2 linked regions of the Lonchura striata genome follow. The protein of the gene in region 1 purifies or fractionates together with the protein of each later gene. This does not show direct contact. Links are inferred from orthologs where the notes say so. Each region holds a gene or a part of one and is shown on either strand. Other genes may lie near its edges.

What was found.
Region 2: the proteins of LIMK2 (region 1) and TTC1 purify together in Homo sapiens (affinity purification with mass spectrometry; 3 studies listed by BioGRID and IntAct, counting the BioPlex papers as one, with this or other methods). This does not show direct contact. The link is inferred for Lonchura striata from reciprocal best matches to the Homo sapiens genes LIMK2 and TTC1.

The regions. Positions count from the first base shown.
Region 1 is NC_134620.1:4,576,706-4,585,739, reverse strand, and holds the start of LIMK2 (LIM domain kinase 2), read left to right. Parts: upstream 1-4,684; 5' UTR 4,685-4,731; coding exon 4,732-4,747; intron 4,748-7,232; coding exon 7,233-7,332; intron 7,333-9,034. Other genes in the region: E3 ubiquitin-protein ligase RNF185, read left to right, coding at 725-842, 1,971-2,068. UniProt on the Homo sapiens protein: Serine/threonine-protein kinase that plays an essential role in the regulation of actin filament dynamics. Acts downstream of several Rho family GTPase signal transduction pathways.
Region 2 is NC_134617.1:1,327,399-1,337,456, reverse strand, and holds the start of TTC1 (tetratricopeptide repeat protein 1), read left to right. Parts: upstream 1-5,531; 5' UTR 5,532-5,573; intron 5,574-6,308; 5' UTR 6,309-6,317; coding exon 6,318-6,605; intron 6,606-10,058. Other genes in the region: ADRA1B (alpha-1B adrenergic receptor), read left to right, coding at 922-1,424.

The sequences.
Region 1 (9,034 bases):
CACACTGCTTCTGCAGAGCAGGATTCATCTCAATTCAGAGCACTTATCTTTTGACTTGATGCGGTATTTCAGTCTGGATCGCTTAAGGTCAGTGTTATTGCATTGTAACTTCCTTTATTTCATCCTTTCCTTATATCTTGCATTCCTGCCCCAGGTTATTTTGCCACCTTAATTTGAGTTCCCATGGTAAATTTTTTTGTGGTTTTCCTTCAAATGCTCTATGCATCCCACTGGGAATTTATAATTTCACTGAGTATTTAACTGATGCACATGTATCACAAATATCAGTTTAGGTTATTTTCTTGAGTACCTTTCTTATATGGCTAACAGCTGTTAACACACGATACATTGTTAAGACATTCTAAGTAGAATTCCTCCTGGTGATTTTGATACATTGGCAGATACTACTTTAAGTTGAGAAAGGTTACAGTTGAAAAACACTGTCCTAATTTGTGGCCCTCAAGCAAGAACTGCAGTTGCTAGTTTTCATTTTCTCAAACCTTTGGGTTGCTCGGTGAATTTGCTGCTGTCTGAAACATTTTAACCCAGGAGACCTAGGGGGGGATCTGGACAAAAGTGTGTCAGACTGAAAGTTGCCAGACAGCGTGACCCTCCTTCTGCCATGGCAAAGCCAGCGAGAGGGAATATCTGCTCATCCACAAAATACTCTGAAATAGGCTCTAAGTGAGTCCCTTTTTTGTCTTCTGTTCTTTGTTCTCTGCAGGGATTCCAGGGCTTTGGGTTTGGTGATGGTGGCTTCCAGATGTCGTTTGGAATTGGGGCGTTTCCCTTTGGTATATTCGCAACAGCCTTCAACATAAACGACGGGCGACCTCCTCCAGGTACCACGGATCCTTCTCCTGCCCCATCACAGACAGACATTTTACAAACTCTTAAATAACCTGCTAAATGGCAAAATATTCTGAGCAGTAACCAGTGTTGTCAATAGAACCACTAAATGAGGGCAGAAACACTCTGTACAGAACGTGGTCTGTGGCTGGTATGTTTTGTACACAGACTTATAAAAGAGCAAGTTTGTCACTTCTATATAATTTGCTGAAGGCCCTCCTGGGAGACCAGTGACTGCAGAGAAACAGTGGCACTGGAGACTACTCTCCTCTAATTCAGATGTCTCCTCTGGTACACCAGCAGACTTCTCCTGAAAAATGTGACAAATTGGACTAGACTTTCTAATAATAATAAAAAGGAGTCACTAGGGGTGTATGAAGGAGACCCAGTTTTAAAAACAGCAGGAAAGTACCATTTCCTGAAAGATGAGAAGGAAAAATTTAAACTGGTGCTCTGTACCACCAAATTATAAATGCAAAGATTGTTCATTTTCCAGAAATTTATCTGAGACAGTCATCTGTATTCTACAAGAAGTAACTTTCCAGTGAAATTACTTCACGTTTTTGATTAAGAAAAAACAGTTGGATTATTCCAAGGGGTGACCTTGCTCTCTAACAATGAAGTAATCCCTAGAGAACCTCCTCCCTATCTTCACTGTAGACAGACTGAATCTGTTTTGAACAAGAATGCCTACTGCCCAGGATTTTGTGAACTTATTTTGTGAACTTATTTTGTGAAAGGTTATACCTGGCAAATCTTCCACCATGTCATATGGCACGGGAATTATGAGGAACAAACTCATTCTTCACATCACACCAGCGTTGCCATGGTCCTGTGCTGTCCTTAGGTCAAATTATTTTCCCTGTTAGCTATAGTTCAGTGTCCCCTGAAAATCTGCTGGGGGTGGGACTGAACTAAGGAATCCTGCTTCAAGATACTTGTCTTCCTTCTGATCTGCCCATACAGGCAGCCAGGCTGAGGGTAGAAAGTAGCAACTTTTCTCACCAAGCAAATCCTTTGCATATTTTTCAATGTATGAATATACTATATTCAGAATATACACAATCCGAGAGAAAAGGAAGGAGCTGAACTGTTTGTTTTTTTTACTTCCTGTTTTCCAGCTGTTCCAGGGACTCCTCAATATGTGGATGAGCAGTTCCTTTCCCGCCTCTTCCTGTTTGTGGCACTGGTGATAATGTTCTGGCTGTTGATTGCATAAATCTTTTCCATTATTATATATATTCATGACCAACAAGGCCACTGAAACAGTTACAAACTGCATCCCCATCCCATTTTAAACCTCTTGGTGTCTGGTTCCATAGCTACCTATGGGCTTCAGGAATTGGTGGTACCACAGCACAATGAGGAATCTCACATTTTGCACCAGAGTTGGTAATTAAAACATTGGTTTAAAAATGTATTTCAGCTCAGATATGTTGTACAACAGGTTCCTGCCACAAACCATGGGCCTAGCGTTGAGCTGCACTCCGAAAGGGAGTGCTGCTTTGAAATCCTGTGCCAATCAGTGACACCAGGTCTGTGGGATACACAGTTATCCCAGCGCAGACTGGGCAGGTAAGGAAACTTCTTCAGTGTCACCAGTATCTCCTGCTTTGCAACCACGATGGATCTGCCAGAGCTGCAGATGTTATTTAATGTCTCCATCAACATCTGACCTTCTCCAGGAAATCATCTGCAGCACTGCTGAGACTCTCTGGGGCACAGCACGTGATGCAAACGGAACCAGGCCTGGAGACTGGTTTCTTTTCCGCCTGTTATTTCCTGGTGTGATGGAAAACCCTTCCTGAATGGTTCTGATGGCTGTTAGAAGAAGGGATACATATTTATGCTGCAATTTTTTAAAGCCTAAGCATGCTGGAGCCATCCACTGGAAGATTCTCTGGCTGTGGAGCCAGGTGGGGCTGCTGGACCCAGCCCAGTTCCTCACTGACAAACAGTGTTGTCTTCCCCAGCTCTGTGCAGCACCTGTGGCTGCACCCGTGGATAATCCCCTCACAGCCTCGTCACTGTAGCAACATTTATCTTTCTCAAGGCTTTGAGACTTTCTACAGAAGGTCATGTACTCCAGATAAAATCCTATTACAGATCTGAGATCAGCTTGTTTGGGGAGAGGAACAAAAGGCATCTTTACATGAGTTTTGAGGTAAAACTTGTCATACTGTAAAATTATACAGGAGGAGACATGAGATCCTGCCTTTGCCAGCACATGCTCAGTAGGGAACATTTGGAAGACCTTCTCTCTGCAGATGCACGCAGACCTTCTCCCGTGCCACAGCAGAACTACAGCGCAAGAGTCTCTGCAGCTAAAATCTACCAAAGATTTTAATTTGAAGTGCTGGAGGAGACCACAACCATTAATGTGCTGAGGGGATATTTCAGAAGGTGAGCAATCTGCAGCCGCTTTGGGATCCTGTTGGGTATCCAGCTTTAAAGAGTACTCCTGATGTATTTGTGTAGATTCCTTCAAAACAGGTATGAGAAAGTCCCTAGCAAGATGAACAGTTCATATTTCTCTGACTAGGCAATTCCATTTTTTTTCCTCTTACTGTCTATAGATTTTTTTGATTCCGGCCACTCATAGTCATAATGATTTCCTGCAAGATGAATGTTGTGACTTCCCTGGCAGTAGACAGAAAAACTGAAAAGCAAATCAATTAATAGAAACTTCATTTCAATATCTTGGGATTTTTTTAGCATATGGAAGTGTTTCCTGGGCAGGACACCTTTAATTAATTGTTATAGAAGTTTATTTATGTAATTATAAACTGTTTCCTTTTAGTGTCAAGGCAGAGTATGACTGAAGTTTAACTTGCCTACCTCCAAAATTCCATCTGGCAAGTAGAATGTTGCAAAGCTTCTGCAGTGTTTTGTCACGTCAGATTTATACCTGACTTAATGATAATCTGATAGAATATATTGCTCAACTATTTATAGTTGAGGTGGTGCTTCAGCTTTTGTTGTGTGACACTTCTGAGTAGCTGAACTTTGGCATAGGGTTCTTCTCAAGTGTGTAACTTGGTAACTGGGGCCCTTCCCAGGAGGAAAGGCTGTTTTGTTTGGTTGTCCTACAATGTCGCAGCTTTGGCTTCCTCTCCTGCGCAGTCAGCACCACCTGCTGATGGGAAGGGAAGGTTTGTGTGACAGTAAGAGATGGATTCCTTCTCCTTTTGTACGGAGAAACTCGATGCTGAGAGGTTATGCAGGAAGGAGAAGCCTTTATCCCGTAAAGAGGATAGAGAAGTGACTGCAATAGATTCAAGAGGTACTGAAATATATTTAATTAATACATTTTAAAAACCAGAATTTTAATGGATTGGGGATGGGGAATTTCCATCTAGGAGTGAGAGAGATAATGGATTTAGAGAAGGCTGCAGAAGCATGACCGAGAGCTCTTATTTTCCGGCAATTCAAGGATGAAATAGTCTAAAAGTGTTAACGCTTGGTTCCCCCTTTCCCTGGTGTGCTTTTGTATGTACCCCTTCCCGTAACCTGACCGCACACGGCCCGGACGGCTCGGTTAGTGCGTTACCGTTGCTCCTCACTAATTTTCACTGTTGTGAAAGTGATTTAGAATTAAAAAATGGTTTTACATTGAGCGGAGTGCGCCGCCGTTCCTTTGCGCTGCCTCGGGGGCGGGAGCGGGGCCGCGCCCGCCGGGCACGTGCGGGGCGGGGCTGCGGGCGGGCGGCGCCGCCATTGGCCGCCGGCGCGGAAAGGGCGGGGCGGGCGGGGCGGGGCAGCGCGGGGATTGGCCGGGGCGCGGAGAGGGCGCCGCCGATTGGTCGGGGGCGGGCGCGGCGCCGCGCAGAGGCGGGCCCAGGTGCGGCGGCGGCCGCTGGCGTCGGGCGCGGCGGGCGCGGGATGGAGGCGCTGCCAGGTGAGCTCGGGCCGGGCCGGCCGCGCCTCCGCGGGAGGAGCCGCGCTCCGCCGCCGCGGGGCGGCCGCCGCTGCATCGGCGGGGGCGCGGGGCTCGACGGGGCCGCTGCCTCCGGAGCCGGCCGGACGTCAGCCCTGGCTGGGGAGCGTTCTGGGGCCGGCCCGCGGCTCCCTCCGGCCGGTGGCACCGCCGGTTCCCGGGGGTTCCCGGCGGGTCTCCGGGGCACTGAGATCCGCAGGACGGCCGTGGGAGACGCGGCGCGTCCCCCCCGGGGCGGCCGGAGCCGGCCGGGTCGTGCAGCGCCGGTGCCGCGGGGCCGCCGGTGCCGCGGGGCCGCCGGTGCCGCGGGGCCGCCGGTGCCGCGGGGCCGCCGGTGCCGCGGGGCCGCCGGTGCCGCGGGGCCGCCGGTGCCGCTCAGCCCGTCCCCGTTGTCCCGCTCGGTGTCCGCCGGGGCCACGGCGGCTGCTCCTCGCTGGCCGTCTCTGACACATTCCTCCCGTCTGGGAAACTCGACAGACCTGTTACATGGATTATGTCCGTTTGCGTTTCCTTCGCACTGTTTCCTGCTCTGTTTTCTTCATTTCCGTCGTTTCTCCTGCATACTGAAGCAATTTCTGTTGGATTGAGGACTGTTCGTTTCCCTTTGTGAGCTAATCAGCCTTCCTGGGTACACTTAAAGAGATGTAGCACTGCAGCTGAGAGTAGGTGTAGTTTCTTCGTGGAGTTCCGAAGCCGATGGGTCAGATTCTGTAAGATGGTCGGGGAATAATTTGTTGCTTCTGGTCAGCTATGGTGTAATAGTTGATCTTTAAATATCTTTAGTAGGATCCACAGACAGTTTTTACACGTGTGTGTTGTGCTGGTGACACTGAATGGGAGGGGATGGAGCTGCAGAATGTTTGGTTTGCAGGTAGTTTTGGCCTGCAGCTATTTCAGAAATTCAGCTGACTTCCAGGGCTTGCCCTGCTTGGAGAGGAGAGCGTTGGCTGCCTGTGCATGGAGGCACAGGCACACGGAGCTTTGCCTTTTATTCCCAAGCCCGTTTGGTGCACTGAAAAGCCATTTCCTTTATGGGACAACATGGATAGGATCAGGTTTTTCCAAGGTTCTCCCAGCCTTTACTCTACTGTGCAGGTGTGAGCTCAGGTGCAGTTCTTGGTGTTCTGGATTAGCAGAAGGGCACAGGGGCAGGTGATCCAGGTGTGGTGCTGATGCACACTTAGGGACTGAAGTAGCAGTCACATTTGAAGGAACCCTTTGAGCCTTACATCTTTATGGAGACCTTCCTGGGTACTGCTGCTCTGCTGGTGATAGTGGTGCTTGTAGCTGAGCAGCAAATGTTTTTTTTCCCTGAAATAGCTATTTATGTAAAAAGTGCAAGATCTTCACCCTAGTTAATTTTAAACATTGTCATTGACCTAGACGGTGGGGTAAAGGTGCATGGAAAGTTGATGGCTTCTGTTTTGTGTAGCTTCAGGGAATTTAACAGTGGTATGAACTTGCCTAAGCAACTACCAAGTTGTACCATTCTTTGGAAAAGGGAAGTCCGTGGTTTGTGGTTTGCTTTTCTAAGTGCACCTTTTTCTTTAATGCTGCCTTGCTACAAGGAAACTGTTAGTAGCAGGAAGAAACAGGTTTGGGATCTTTTCAGCTCTCTGACACATTTCTTGTGCCATCCTGTGCTGAACTAAGATTCTTGACTCTTTAATATGCCTGCACTGCCCTTGGGATTTTGGATACCATTTATCTGTGTGCCAAATGTTCTTTGTGCACAAGCTTTCATTCTGTTTTTCTAGCTTGCTTGCATCTAAGTAACCAGCTCTCTCTGGGGCTTTCTGGCAGTTCTAGCAAAAACTATTATAGCTCTATTATAACTTTTATAAGTATTTTCTGAAAGGGCAATAGGCCAGTAGCATAACTCCCCCTTTCTAAGTCTGATGGGTAGTCTGATGTTGGCTGTACAGTCTCTATGGGATTATTCATTCAAGAGTGTAATTCCTTCCTGGTAGTCTACTTGTTCTCTACTGAAAGAAGTTTGTCTTTCCTTTCTTTCAGTTCTGGGAAATCCAGTTAATTCTACAAATGCGAGCAAATGTTTTGTGCTGAGTCAGTGGTGTGGGGGAAGCAGTAGCGTGTCTTCCTGGCCTAGCATGGTTCTCTGTTGGAATTGTTGTACTAGACCAGTGTTGCCTTCCTGAAATCTCTGCTCTGACAGAGCTGTAACTGAGCTGTTTTATGTGAAAAGTCATAGTCTTCTTTTCTGCAGAATGTGAAGAAAGAGATGTCATGTCTGGGGAAAAAAATATACAAGATATCAGAGTTTGATTTGGGAGTTCCCACTCTGGGGTTATAGACTTCCTGCAGCTTTCCATGTGGGAAGGCTTTCCTGTCAGTTACTTAAGATTGTTCTTTATGAAAGATGTACCAATCTTTGTTTTCTCTGGTGTAAACTGGTTGCTGTTTGTCCCCTTATTGCTGCGTGCAGGTGAAGAAGTCTGGAGATGCCTGGGATGTGGGGACAGCATTGCTGCTGGGCAGCGCCTCCACAAGACTGTCAATGAAGCTTGGCACATCTCCTGTTTCCGGTAGGTGAAGCTTCAGCCTTTAAACCCTCCTTGTGTTGTTCCACTGCCTGGGAGCTGGTGGTGAAGTACCAGCATGAGCTGGGAATTCCTACAGTGATCTCTGTGCCTGACCTGTTCCGAGCTCGTTTGTGCTGTACCCCAGGGACAGCATCCAGTCCTGAGAGCAGCTGACACTGCCTGGCAGCACGGCTGCGCTGACGCAAACGGGATACAGATAAAGTGCAAATAAAAGCTCTGATTTACTGGTGGTGGCAGAAGCCATGGCTTACATGTTTGTCTTCTGCAGCATTCCAAAGTAGTGCCCAGGCAATTTGCACAGCCTGTTACTTTTTCATTGTGTGGTAGGTGCAAGGGTGTTATCAGGGTGCTGATAGAGAGGAGGGAAGAGACAGAGATCTTGCCTTTTGCTTTCTCTCCTTTGCAGACTCTTAAGACAAATTTATGAAATCTGTTAGATAATGTTGCTGTCTGCAAGGACAAAAAGGAATATCTGCTGTGCTTTTTCGTGGTGGTAGGAGTAATACCATTTTGGTTTTCCATGAATATTCAGTCCAGTTTTCATGCTCCAGAATCACATTTCTGAAGGGGTCTGTATTTTTGAAAGAGGTTGAGTACCTCCAGCTTCTACTGGCTTCTCTGTTGGTTTGAATATGGGGAGGCTAATGTTTCGTTATTGTTAAAGAAAGTGGGGAGAAAAGGAAGCCAAAGTGTGGCTTTGGAGGAATGTTTTTTGTGCCAAAATAAGCATCTATTGTCCTCGTTTAAAGAACAGAAAAAAAAAGAAGCCAACAAAATACCCCAACTTTGTTGAAGGTTGATTGTGGTTATTGGTATATTTAAAAAAAATAAAGCATCTCATGCTGCCAAAGCAATGCAGGCTCAGTTCACTCAGAAAATGCTGTTTTAGTGACACATTAATAATCACAATAACATTTGATTTCATTACAAGTCCCAGTATTTCGGATTTCTGTTGGTTTTAGTGTTCATGTTTAGCCATAATGAAGCAGCTTGTCTTAATCCTGGTTTTCTCTTTTCCCTGAAGGATGAGTATCCTGCTGAGCTTCCCTAGATTCTGCCAGTAGCCAAACCCCAAGCTGTGTGTGCTGGGAAATCTGTCCCTCTTGCCATTGAATGTATTTCTCTTGTGGGTCTTGATTTGTAAATGTTGTGGTACTTCTTGCTGTTGGAGCTGTTGAGGTAAGGAACAGCTGAGCTGGAGGCAAATCCTGCCTTTGGGACACTTCACAGAGGATTTGTTTTCATAGGTTATAGTGTATAATGGAGGTTTGTTTGTTGCTTCTGGGCTGGTTTGTTTGATGCAAGCGATGACACCAACCTTTCTCTGAGCAGTGTAGTCACTTTTTGTATTTGCTGATGCACTTCTTTTGCTCTGTGCTTTTGGTGAGCTCCAGCACCCAGCGAGGCTGCTGTGCTCAGTGAACAGTTGGAACCTGCAGGAAAGGAAGCTGCCCTCCCCTTTTTCCTAGTTCCAGGGTAGGACTGTACATGAAAACAAGTTTCCAGTTTACACTGTGCTCCTCCTTTTCTTCTGCTGTCCCTAAGCCATGCTGAGCAGCAGTCTTATGCCTGATATCCCAAAGCCAAACTTTAAAAAGCCTCTACGGGTAGGAGGCTTTGGCAGTTGGTAGCTGTGAGTTCCGGCAGCTCTTGTGGAGTGTTTTTTGCAGTCTTCCTGTGGATT
Region 2 (10,058 bases), on another chromosome or scaffold:
AGAGGAAAAGGTTCCTTCCCAGCCAGACTGGGCTGACAGCTTCCATTTGAAACACTCTGCAAACCTAACTCCAGTTCTTGATAAAAGAATTCTCTCTTTGGTCACAGAGTTGGATCCCCACTCCTTGGTCACAGAGGTGTTTTCCCAGATGGATAACAGATCCAGCTCTGCTTGCCATAAAAATCTCATACACTCTTTTCTCCAGCCCCATTTGCTAAATTTAGCTGATCAATTACCACTGAAAGCACAGGAAGTGGATGCCCCAGTGTGAGTTTTTCATTTGGGCAGCCTCCTTAGGGAAATAGTTTGGTTGTGAAGGGAAGGGGAAGTATTCACAGAATGACCTCTTGGTTTGGGTCACACCATTTTTGTGAATGCCTGAGATGTGGGAAGTTCCCCAATTAACTTCAGGTTTCGGGAGGTTTGTACTCTCACAGTAATCTGGGTAAATGGAGGGGCATTCAGGAGCTGCCAGAGGATGTATTAGAAGTTTTAAGGTGTCTCTGTAAATGCTCTTTTTGGGGGTTCTGGGAACACTTTTCTTTAAAAATGACCTTTGAAAGCTCTTTGAGGAAGGCACAGCCTTACTCCTTGTGTTCCTCGTGCAACAGCCTGAACAAGGGAGATTTGATCTGTCCCTGGGATCAGATGTTCCTGCAGTAGGTGTGGGCCTAGAACCAAAATGACTGCTTCTTATTTTTTAATCCTTCATCAGTTATTTGCTCCTTCAGCCTTCTGATGGGAAACATTTCCTTATTAGCTTTAAAAATAACATTTTAGTACCAGAAGACCAACACTGAAAGCAACATGCATAAAAGTTTTAAGACACAGATTGTAACAGTGATCTGATGAACGTGTTCCCTTCCTAAAGGCAGACAAGTCCCTTATCTCAGATATTCTCTGCTTGTTTTCCCTGGACAGGATCCCTGTTTTCGGCTCTGAAGCCCCCTGAAACGATCTTCAAGGTGATTTTTTGGCTTGGCTACTTCAACAGTTGCTTGAATCCCATCATCTACCCCTGCTCCAGCAAGGAGTTCAAGAGGGCTTTCATCCAGATCCTGAGATGCCAGTGCCACCGGCGCAAGCAGCTGGGCTGGTGGCCCTACAGCTACAGAAACTGGAACCGCTGCTCCCTGGAACACGCCCGGAGGGATTCCCTGGAAGACAGCGGCAGCTTCCTGAGCGGCAGCCAGAGGACTTTATCCTCGGCATCGCCCAGCCCCGGCTACGTGAGCAGGATCAGCCAGCCGCAGCTGGAGCTGTGCACGCTGCACGAGTGCAGGAACTGCAGCTCCCTGCTCAGCCCGGCCCGGGAGGGCGGCGGGCAGCAGGGCCACTGCCAGCTCTTCACCTTCCAGCTCCTGCCCGAGCGCAACGGGCACGGCCCCCGCGGCTCGGGCCACGAGCCCCCGGGCACGCCCTGAGCGGCAGCGCTGCCCGCGGGCGAGCCCCGCTGAACGGGCGGCTCCGAGCGCCCCGTGCCCGCCGGACACCGCCCTGCACCGCGCCAGCCCCGCGGGAGCGCACGGAGCTCCTCCGGGAGCTCGGGAAGGGAGCAGGAGGGACGGGGGCTCCATGGCGCAGCAGTGCCCAGGGCAGGGACTGACCGCCCGTGCTCCCCGCGATTCCCGGAGAAGCTGCGGGAGCGGGAGCAGAGGGCAGCGAGGGTCCTGCACACGCCCTGCGAGGGGCGCACGGACCCCGCAGGTGTCCTGGGAGAGCTGGACAGACACACACACCTGCAGGGACACAGGGTGGCATGGGGTGGGCAGGGGTGGGGGTGCCCAGCTGTGCCAGGGATGGATGGATGGATGGATGGATGGATGGATGGATGGATGGATGGATGGATGGATGGATGGATGGATGGATGGTGGATGGATGGATGGATGGATGGATGGATGGATGGATGGATGGAGCAATGAGGAATGCACCGAGGTCATTGCTCTCCAGGTTGTCCCTGGCTCTGCCCATAATTCCCAATTGTTCCATACATCGCTGTACACTCGCACTTTAGAGATGGAAAACAATGATTAAAGTAATTTCTCAACAATTGAAACACTTACTCCTGTTATTGTAGGGCTGGAATTCAGCCACGATTCCTCCTCAGGATTCTCACTACAAAATAAAATACTCATGGCCAATGGATTTGCCATTGTGGCTCGTGGGACACTGTTGCTTCTCTCATCACCAACACACATAATTCTTCCATCAGGAATTAGTTACAGGAGTTCCATCACCAGGATCTCTTTGTCAGTTTGAAAATTGTGGAAAAACACATGGATCTGAAGGAAGGACTACAAAGATTACAGAGGACAAAGTCCGATATGCCATTTTAAAATATGGAACTTTAGCAAGGCCACCTGACTTGTCCAGATGAGATCTCTTCTGAATACCTTCATTTTTCCCACTGGAATCTTTTACAACCTCCACCAGGCAAAGCCAGACATAGGAGGCTGTACAAATCACCCTCTTCCTTATGTTAGTCCTTCTTCTGATGCAATGTTTTCCTTTAAAGGAAAAGCTATTTGGGCCAGAGCACAATCATGTGGGACAAACCCATTTTTTATTACAGCCAAAATGAATTTGCCAAGCAGAACTTGCAGTGGCAGTGGCACGTGGTGGTATCTTTTTTATGCTCATTCACAAACTTTCTGATGAATCCATTCTGTGGGCAAACAGATTTGCCTCTCTAAATGAATCGCTGCAATTTAGCACCAAAGGTGTTCATAAAACACTGAATTTCCCCAGGTTAAGCTGCCATGTGTAGCTTCATCCCTAAGGAGGGGCTGCTCCAGAGCCACTCAGTGGAGAGGCACAGCTGGAATGGCTCGGGGAGCTTTGTCACAGCACAGCTGTACAGAAATTAAACCCATTAGGCTTCAGTGCACTCAGCTCTCAATGTGTTGCTTATTTGTGAGAAGAGTTATGCTAAAACCAATCCAGCTGAATGAGGCTGGAGCTGGAGAGCATCCTGCATGCTTTGCTCTTTGGAAGTGCAGCTTCCCATTATCTTTACAAATGTGGCGTGGAGAGGAGAGGACATTGGTATTACAAAGTACAGTTCCAGTCTGGAAAATGTCAAAATAATAACTTTCTATTCAGCAGCTGAGCTCTGTGCTCTGGATTTGTGTGCTTGACTTTCACCTCAGAAAAATGAGGAGAAAATTGCTTGGCACAGGAGATGATCACAGCAATTATGGGATGGAATTATTGGTGTGCTCACACCCGGTGTTCCTTATCCCACACACTGACCAGCTCATCCCCCTGGGAACGCTCTGGATTCTGGCTTGACTCACTCCACAGGAGAGTTACTCACCTTCTCCCCAGCTGCTCTCTGGCTCCCACATTCCAAAGGGCAGGACACAGAGCTCAGGGCTGGAGCATCACACAAACACCACCTGCACCTGGGGAGGCAGAAAGAAACACCTGACAGCACACGCCATGCTGGGTTTATGTCGGTGGAAGCCTGAAATGTTTGCACCCACTCTGATTTTTTGGGGACTGAAAAGTTGCAGCTCCACCATCAGATTTAATGATCCCGGGACAACAGGTTTGCCTGCTTGGGTTGGAACTAAACTGAGGGGATAAATCAAGTGTCCCTGGGGAGAAAACAGGGCTCTGACAGGGACAGCTCCCCCTGCACCCCTCTACTCTCCTGCCTACTTAAAGCAGAAAATTACATTTCATTTTTACTCAGTTGTGAGCTATGACCTGGCTTTTTCCCAGAGTAGCCAAAATTCCACTGCCACACAAGTGGAAGGAGACAGGGAAAGGAAGTCTGGGACTGTTACTGGGAATCTCCTACAACAAAACACATTGAGCTGTGAAGAACATGCTCCCTGTCTAGCAACTCCCATAATCTTTACAGCATTCCAGCCAAGACATAGAGAAAAAGAGAATGGATATTCAAAATTCATAAGAATCCATCACTGTTTCTCTAATAAGTCAGCCTAAAAAGCGGATGTAGTAAAATTTTAATTTATAGCTGTGATTAAAAAGCTTTTAATTGCCTATTTCACAATTTCCTTTCAAAACGTTCTTTGGGAAGCACAATCATTCGATTCCACTGAGACTTGTGTGCAAATGTTTAATTCTGGTGAAGAACCTGAACTTTCTGTGACCTCCAGAAAACATCAATTATTTTTCCCTTTGCTTGATTTGTTGAGCTTTGGTTTCTTCACTGCGAAGATCAAAAAAAGCTGTCCAGAGAAGTAAATGTAACGTGTGGCCCGGAGCCTGAGGTAGTTGTGCAACATTTGTCCCCTGTCCTGGGCGGCTGAGAGTCCAGCCCTGCTCTGCTGGACGCGGGGAGCTCCAGCCCTGCTGGCACCAAACGGGACCAGTTTGGCACGGAAAGGAGCGGGGACCTGGCTTGGAAAATCCAACATCGCCACCTATGGGGTTTCTGTGGCGGGGAGAGGCACAAATCCCCCGATCCGCTGGATTCCCTGGGTTTTACACGACACTAATCCGGCCTAGGGCAGCGGGGGAGTTGGATACCCTGCGGTCAGTAATTGTAATAAATAATGAGAGGGTGCTTTCCAGATCGCTGGGTTTTATCAACTCGAATTGCACCTGGCTCACGGGCATCGTGTTGAGTCTTCTGCTGCAGGCAGCAGGATTTAGGAATTTCTAGAGAACAAGTCAAGTGCAAAACCTCACGAGTCTGTGGCTGTTTGCATCCACAATGATCTGTGTTCCATCCCCCTGGCACAGGTCAAGCCTCCTTCTGGACTCAGATTTGGAATATTTCAACACTTTAATGTTGTATGAAACCAGAGTTGGGGTGTGAGGCTGAGCAAGAGGAGCGTCATCCCAAAGTTCCAGGGGAAAACCCGAATATTCCTGAGCTGTATGAACATGAAGTATTCATGGGGAGAAGCAGGTCCATGGGGTTGGACAGGGCCAAGAGCCGGGGCTGGATCAGGGACCAGCGCAGGCTGGGGATGCACAGGTGGAGAGGGAGCGCTGGACACGGGAACAGGAACCCCCAGCCCCTGGGCTGATCCCCCAGCGCGGGCAGCAGGGAGGGTTTGGATCGTGCCCCTCAGGTGTGAGCCCACCTGCCGGCCCGAGCAGGGGATGCAGCAGCTCTGCTGGGAGGAAGGGCTGGCACCGCTGGGAGCGCTCACCTGGGCAGGAGAGCCTTTGGGGCGCCCTCAGCGTGGCCTCACAGTGCCTGAAGGAGCTGCAGGAGTCATGGAGAGAGAGGATTTACACCAGTGTGGCCCTGGGGAGAAAGAGGCCACGGGCAGAATGAGGCATCTGCCTCACCTGCCCTCACCTGCCCTCACCTGCCCTCACTGCCCTCACCTGCCCTCACCTGGTCTCACTGCCCTCACCTGCACTCACGCAGTCTTGCCTGTTCTCAGCTGCCCTCCTCTGCCTCCAGCTGCCTTCCCCTGCCCTCCCTCACCTGTTCTCACCTGCGCTCCCTGCCCTCACATCAGAGAACTACAGTCCCCGGCATGCCCCGCGCGCGCCCCCTGGCTCACTGGCTGCCGCTGCCGGAAGCGGCGCTGCCGCGCCGGGGGCGTGGCGGAAGCCGGAAGCCGGAAGTGCAGCTGGCGCAGGTGAGTGCGGGCCCGGGGCCCGGGGGAGCCGGGGGCGATGGCCCCGATCTGCTCTGGCCCCGGTCTGCACCGTCCCCTCCGCTCCAGGCCCTGCGAGCCGGGCACGGCGCCCCGGGGGTCGTGGTGGGGCTGGAGGGGCCGCGCCGGGTGAGCCGTGCCGGGAGCGGCGCGTGGGCCGGGCCCGCGGGGCTGTGCCGGGCTGGCCCCGGGAGCTGAGCCCGGCAGTTCCCGCGCTCACGGGCGCAGTGTCCCGGCCCCGTGTCTCTGCAGGGCCCCGAGAGATCCGAGCTTCCTTTAGGGATCCCTTAAGGATCTGATATCTGAGTTTCCCTTAGGGATGTCAAGAGCACTTTGGAGCACTTTAAGGATTTTTAAATGTGGATAAGAGAAAGTAGATTATTAGCCACATATGGATGTGTATAAATATACAAGGGAGGGGGCAGAGCAGGGCCAGGCTCTGTTCCTGGGCCAGCAGCTGCCCTGCCCGGGAGGCAGAACTCCTGCCCCGGGCAGTGCCAGCCCTGGGCAGAGCCCAGAGAGGGGCTGGGGTCTCCTCCCAGGGGTGTTCAGAGCTGCCTGGACACACTCCTGTGCCCTGTGCTTGGGAATGCAGGAGGTGGCCCCACTGCTCCCCTCCAGCCTCCCCCCCAGGGTGCTGGGATTTGTTTGCTGATGGGTCTATTAATGCTGATCATTGCGTGTCACTCCTTTCTCATCTCCACAACCCCCTCCCAGGAGTCCAGCATGGAAGCATTTAAAGATGCAAGCCCACCTGAGGAGTCACTGAATCACCTGAAGCTGTCAGATCAGAAGGCTCCAGAGCCTGGCCCCAGCGATGCCCAGCAGCCCCAGAGCCAGGATCCCACAGAGGAGTGTTTCCATGACTGCCACGACTCCTTTGAGGCCAAAGGAGCTGTGCTGGATGCTGAAGGGAACGTTCAGGATGACGGGAGTAGCTGCAGGAAGCAGACAGAGCTAGATGAAGAATACTTGCTAGAACTAGAGAAAGATATGCCAGAGGAGGAGAAACAGGTAATGCAGAGCACAGTGCTGGTGTGCAATGATCTGTGTGCAGTGCAGGTGTGAGATGATCTGTGTGCAGTGATCTGTGTGCAGGTGTGCAATGATCTGTGTGCAGTCAGTGCAGGTGTGAGATACTCTGTGCAGGTGTGCAGTGATCTGTGTGCAATGATCTGTGTGCAGTGATTTGTGTGCAGTGCAGGTGTGAGATGATTTGTGTGCAGGTGTGCAGTGATCTGTGTGCAGTCAGTGCTTGGAGAGGTCTGGGGCTGACACAGAGGCACCTCTAAAGCCCTTGAGTGTCTGGTTTTACTGTTCTAAATTCCCTCTTTCCTTGCTGCTCTTTCTCCTCGCATTCCAGGGCAGATTCTGTGTGCCTTGAGCAGTGGGTGAGGTGGCTGTGGCTCAGAGATTCCAGCCACAAAACCCTCCCTGTTCCTGCTGGGAAACTCTCCCTCTTCCTGTCTGTGCATCCTTTGCTTTCCCCTGAGTGCCTGCAAGGTGCTTCTCCAAAACCCAGCAGATTTCAGGATGGTTTCCCTGAAATGTTGCTTGTGGGAATCCAGAGAGTTGGGATTCAATTTAAATAGAGCCCTGTGGATTATTTGGGCTTTAATCAAACACAAGCACATTAAATGTGTGGGATTGTTTGCTTTCACTGTTGTCACATTGGACAAACTCCTCCTGCAGCAGGGAAGAGACAAATGCAGTTTTTCACCTGTAGAACCAATCTTTGTGTGAATATAGAAGTTCCTTGAGGTGGAAAAGCAATACTGGGGAAGGACAACATGAGGTAGAGTCTCCTTGGAGTAGGAGTGACACTAAAAGTACTTCTGGTCTCTGCTGGAGCTGGTGAGAATCCCTTTGGATCTCTGTGTCTCAGTTTGGGCTCTTAAGTGGGCAGAATGATACTGCCAGTTGTGATTCAATAGTGAAGGACAGGGACTGCCAATGTCAGGAGGTGTTCTGGTGCATCCTTTGGAGGATTTTAGTGCAAGCCCCTGCCCAGGGCCAGGGGGATCTCTGGCACAGCCCCTCTGGCTCCCTGTGCTGCTGTTTAATTATCCTGGAAACTTCTGTTAAGTTAGAATTTCCTTTACTGCAGAGCCCTGAGCATCCTGGACTCCCTCTGAGAAGTCAGTCTTGTTGTTGCTGGTGTAGGAAGGAGTTTGTTTGATTTGGGGGTTTTTGCTCAGAACAGGGCATTCTCCAAATGCGTCTCTCAGGTGCTGAGCAGAGGGCAAAATCCTTCCTTGACCTCACACACAAAAATCATTTGATTGCCCTTGGGTTTTTTCCAGTCTGAGTGAACAGTCCCTTTTTTTCTCCTTGTGTTTATTTGTGTCCAATGAGGAGCACTGCCATCATGAGTCACACTGGGGCTGCTGCACCAGCCTGGGACTTGAGAGCTTTAGAGAAAAACTGCTGAAAACTGGGGGGAAATTGTTCTGGAACTGAACTCTGAAAAGAGCAGCAAGCCTGGCAATTGGCTGTGTTCATTTTCCTGCTGCTCTTGGTTTGGTGTATTTTTAGATAATCATCTCATTTTGCACATGGATCTTTGCCTGCTGTCAAATGACCAAAATAATTGGGAATGTTGGATCTTGGCACTCAGCTTTGTGGAACTCCACTGAAAGGGGCTATGGGAGTGCAAAACAGCAACTGCCTCAAAGTGGGAAGGTTTCCTCAGAGAAAGGCTGGAGGCAGCTGCAGCTCTCATCTTTCTGCAGGTTTATTTCCAGTGGTGTTGAGCAATTCTGCCCTTCAGAGTGGTTTGTGATTTCAGCTACCCAAACGGAGGGATTCTGTCTCTCACCAGCACCACAAGTAGTGCATCAGCAGTTTTTTATGTTCCACAGAGAGGTTTCTGAATTTTGCAGGTTTTCAAATGTAGTTTTTTTCCCCTAGCTGCAGAACTCTGAATGCAGAGCAGAACCAGGAGCTCAGACAGTTGGGACAGCCCCTGGTGTGGCCCCTTCCATGATCTGCCCCTGGACAGGTCACTCTTCAATTGCTGCTCCAACTCTACTCCTTGTACTTGCTACTGATGGCCATTAATTTATTATTCAAAGTGAAACATTCTGTATATTCTGATCATAAAAGATTCTGTTAAATCCTGCAGCTCTTAAGGAAAAGTCCTGCAGTCCCAGTCTGAAAACAGTGCTGTACATTCATTTACTCAGAACTTTTAAAACCTTTTAAGCCTTCTTCCAGTGACTCAAAAGGGTTGGTTTTTTGGGTTTGTTTGTTTGTTTTTTGTTTTTTGTTTTTTTTTTTTAGGAGGGCAGTGTGGGTTTTTTTTCTTGATTTTTTCTTGCAGCTGCAGCAAATGGGACAGAAACACTCAGAAGTGTTTTTTGGCTGCTGAGGTGGGGAGCAGGCTCTCAGCAGTCCTGGCTGGGTCCTTGTGGGCCTGTGCTGGCACAACCTCAGCGGAGTGGAGCACTGAGGGTGGGGGTTCACAGGGAAATCAAGCTGGGATTTTAGATCCAGGGCAGTGCTGGTTAAAGCAGACATCAAACAGCAGCCTGGTGCTGGCACCTGGGGAGATGGATTTGATTTGGCTGCTTGTCTAAATCACAAAAACTCCCCAGGGACTGGTGCTGCAGCAGCAGCCATAAACTGTGGGCTCAGGGCACAAGGAGAGCTGGATGTGAGCCCTGCTCCAGTCAGATTTATGGAGCTCCACCTCCTTGGGTTGGGGTTTTTGTTACCAAAACCCACTGCTGTGTTCAGCAGCTGGAATAAACAGGCTCTGTGGAGTGATGTTCTCCAGGCTGTAGGAAAAACCTCATTTATTCTGGAGATGCAGAGGCAGATCCTGGGCCAGGCTCTGGGTGTTTCAGATTCCAGCAGCTCAGAGTAAAACACTCACCTGTGCAGAGGCTGCTGAGAGCTCAGAGGGAGGGAGCCAGGGAGGGATTGTGTGTTTTCTCTAATTACATTTCAAGAGTTCCATACAGGGAGATTTTTTAATGTTAAACAGCAGGAATTCCTTCCAGGGAGACAGCAGGGATACCCTAAAAAATCTTCTCTGCACAAAGAAGCAGAATAAGAACTTGCAGGGATATTAAGACACAAACCTGTAAGAAGTGTTCTCAAAACCAGAGCCTGGTTCCTTGCCTGGGCTTGCACCTCTGAGCTTTTTAAGGATTGAAATTCACCTTTGCAGGGTTTGGTTGTTGTTTCACAAGGCTGCTGCCGCTGCCTCAGCAGAGACACTGAGCAGCAAATTGCTTTTGATGCATTCATTCCAAGCAGATTTTTCTGGCTGCTTGTCAGTGCCAGTGATGGCTTTGACGTGGGGCTGCTCTGCAGAATTAATGTGAGGACACCCAGCAGCTGCTGCAGGGTCATTGTTCAGCCTGCTCTGAGACACCCTTCAGTGAGGAGTTTATCCACTCCCAGTCCCTCAGCTCCTCCAGCGTGGCAGATGCTGTCCTGTCCTGTGGCAAGGACTTCAGC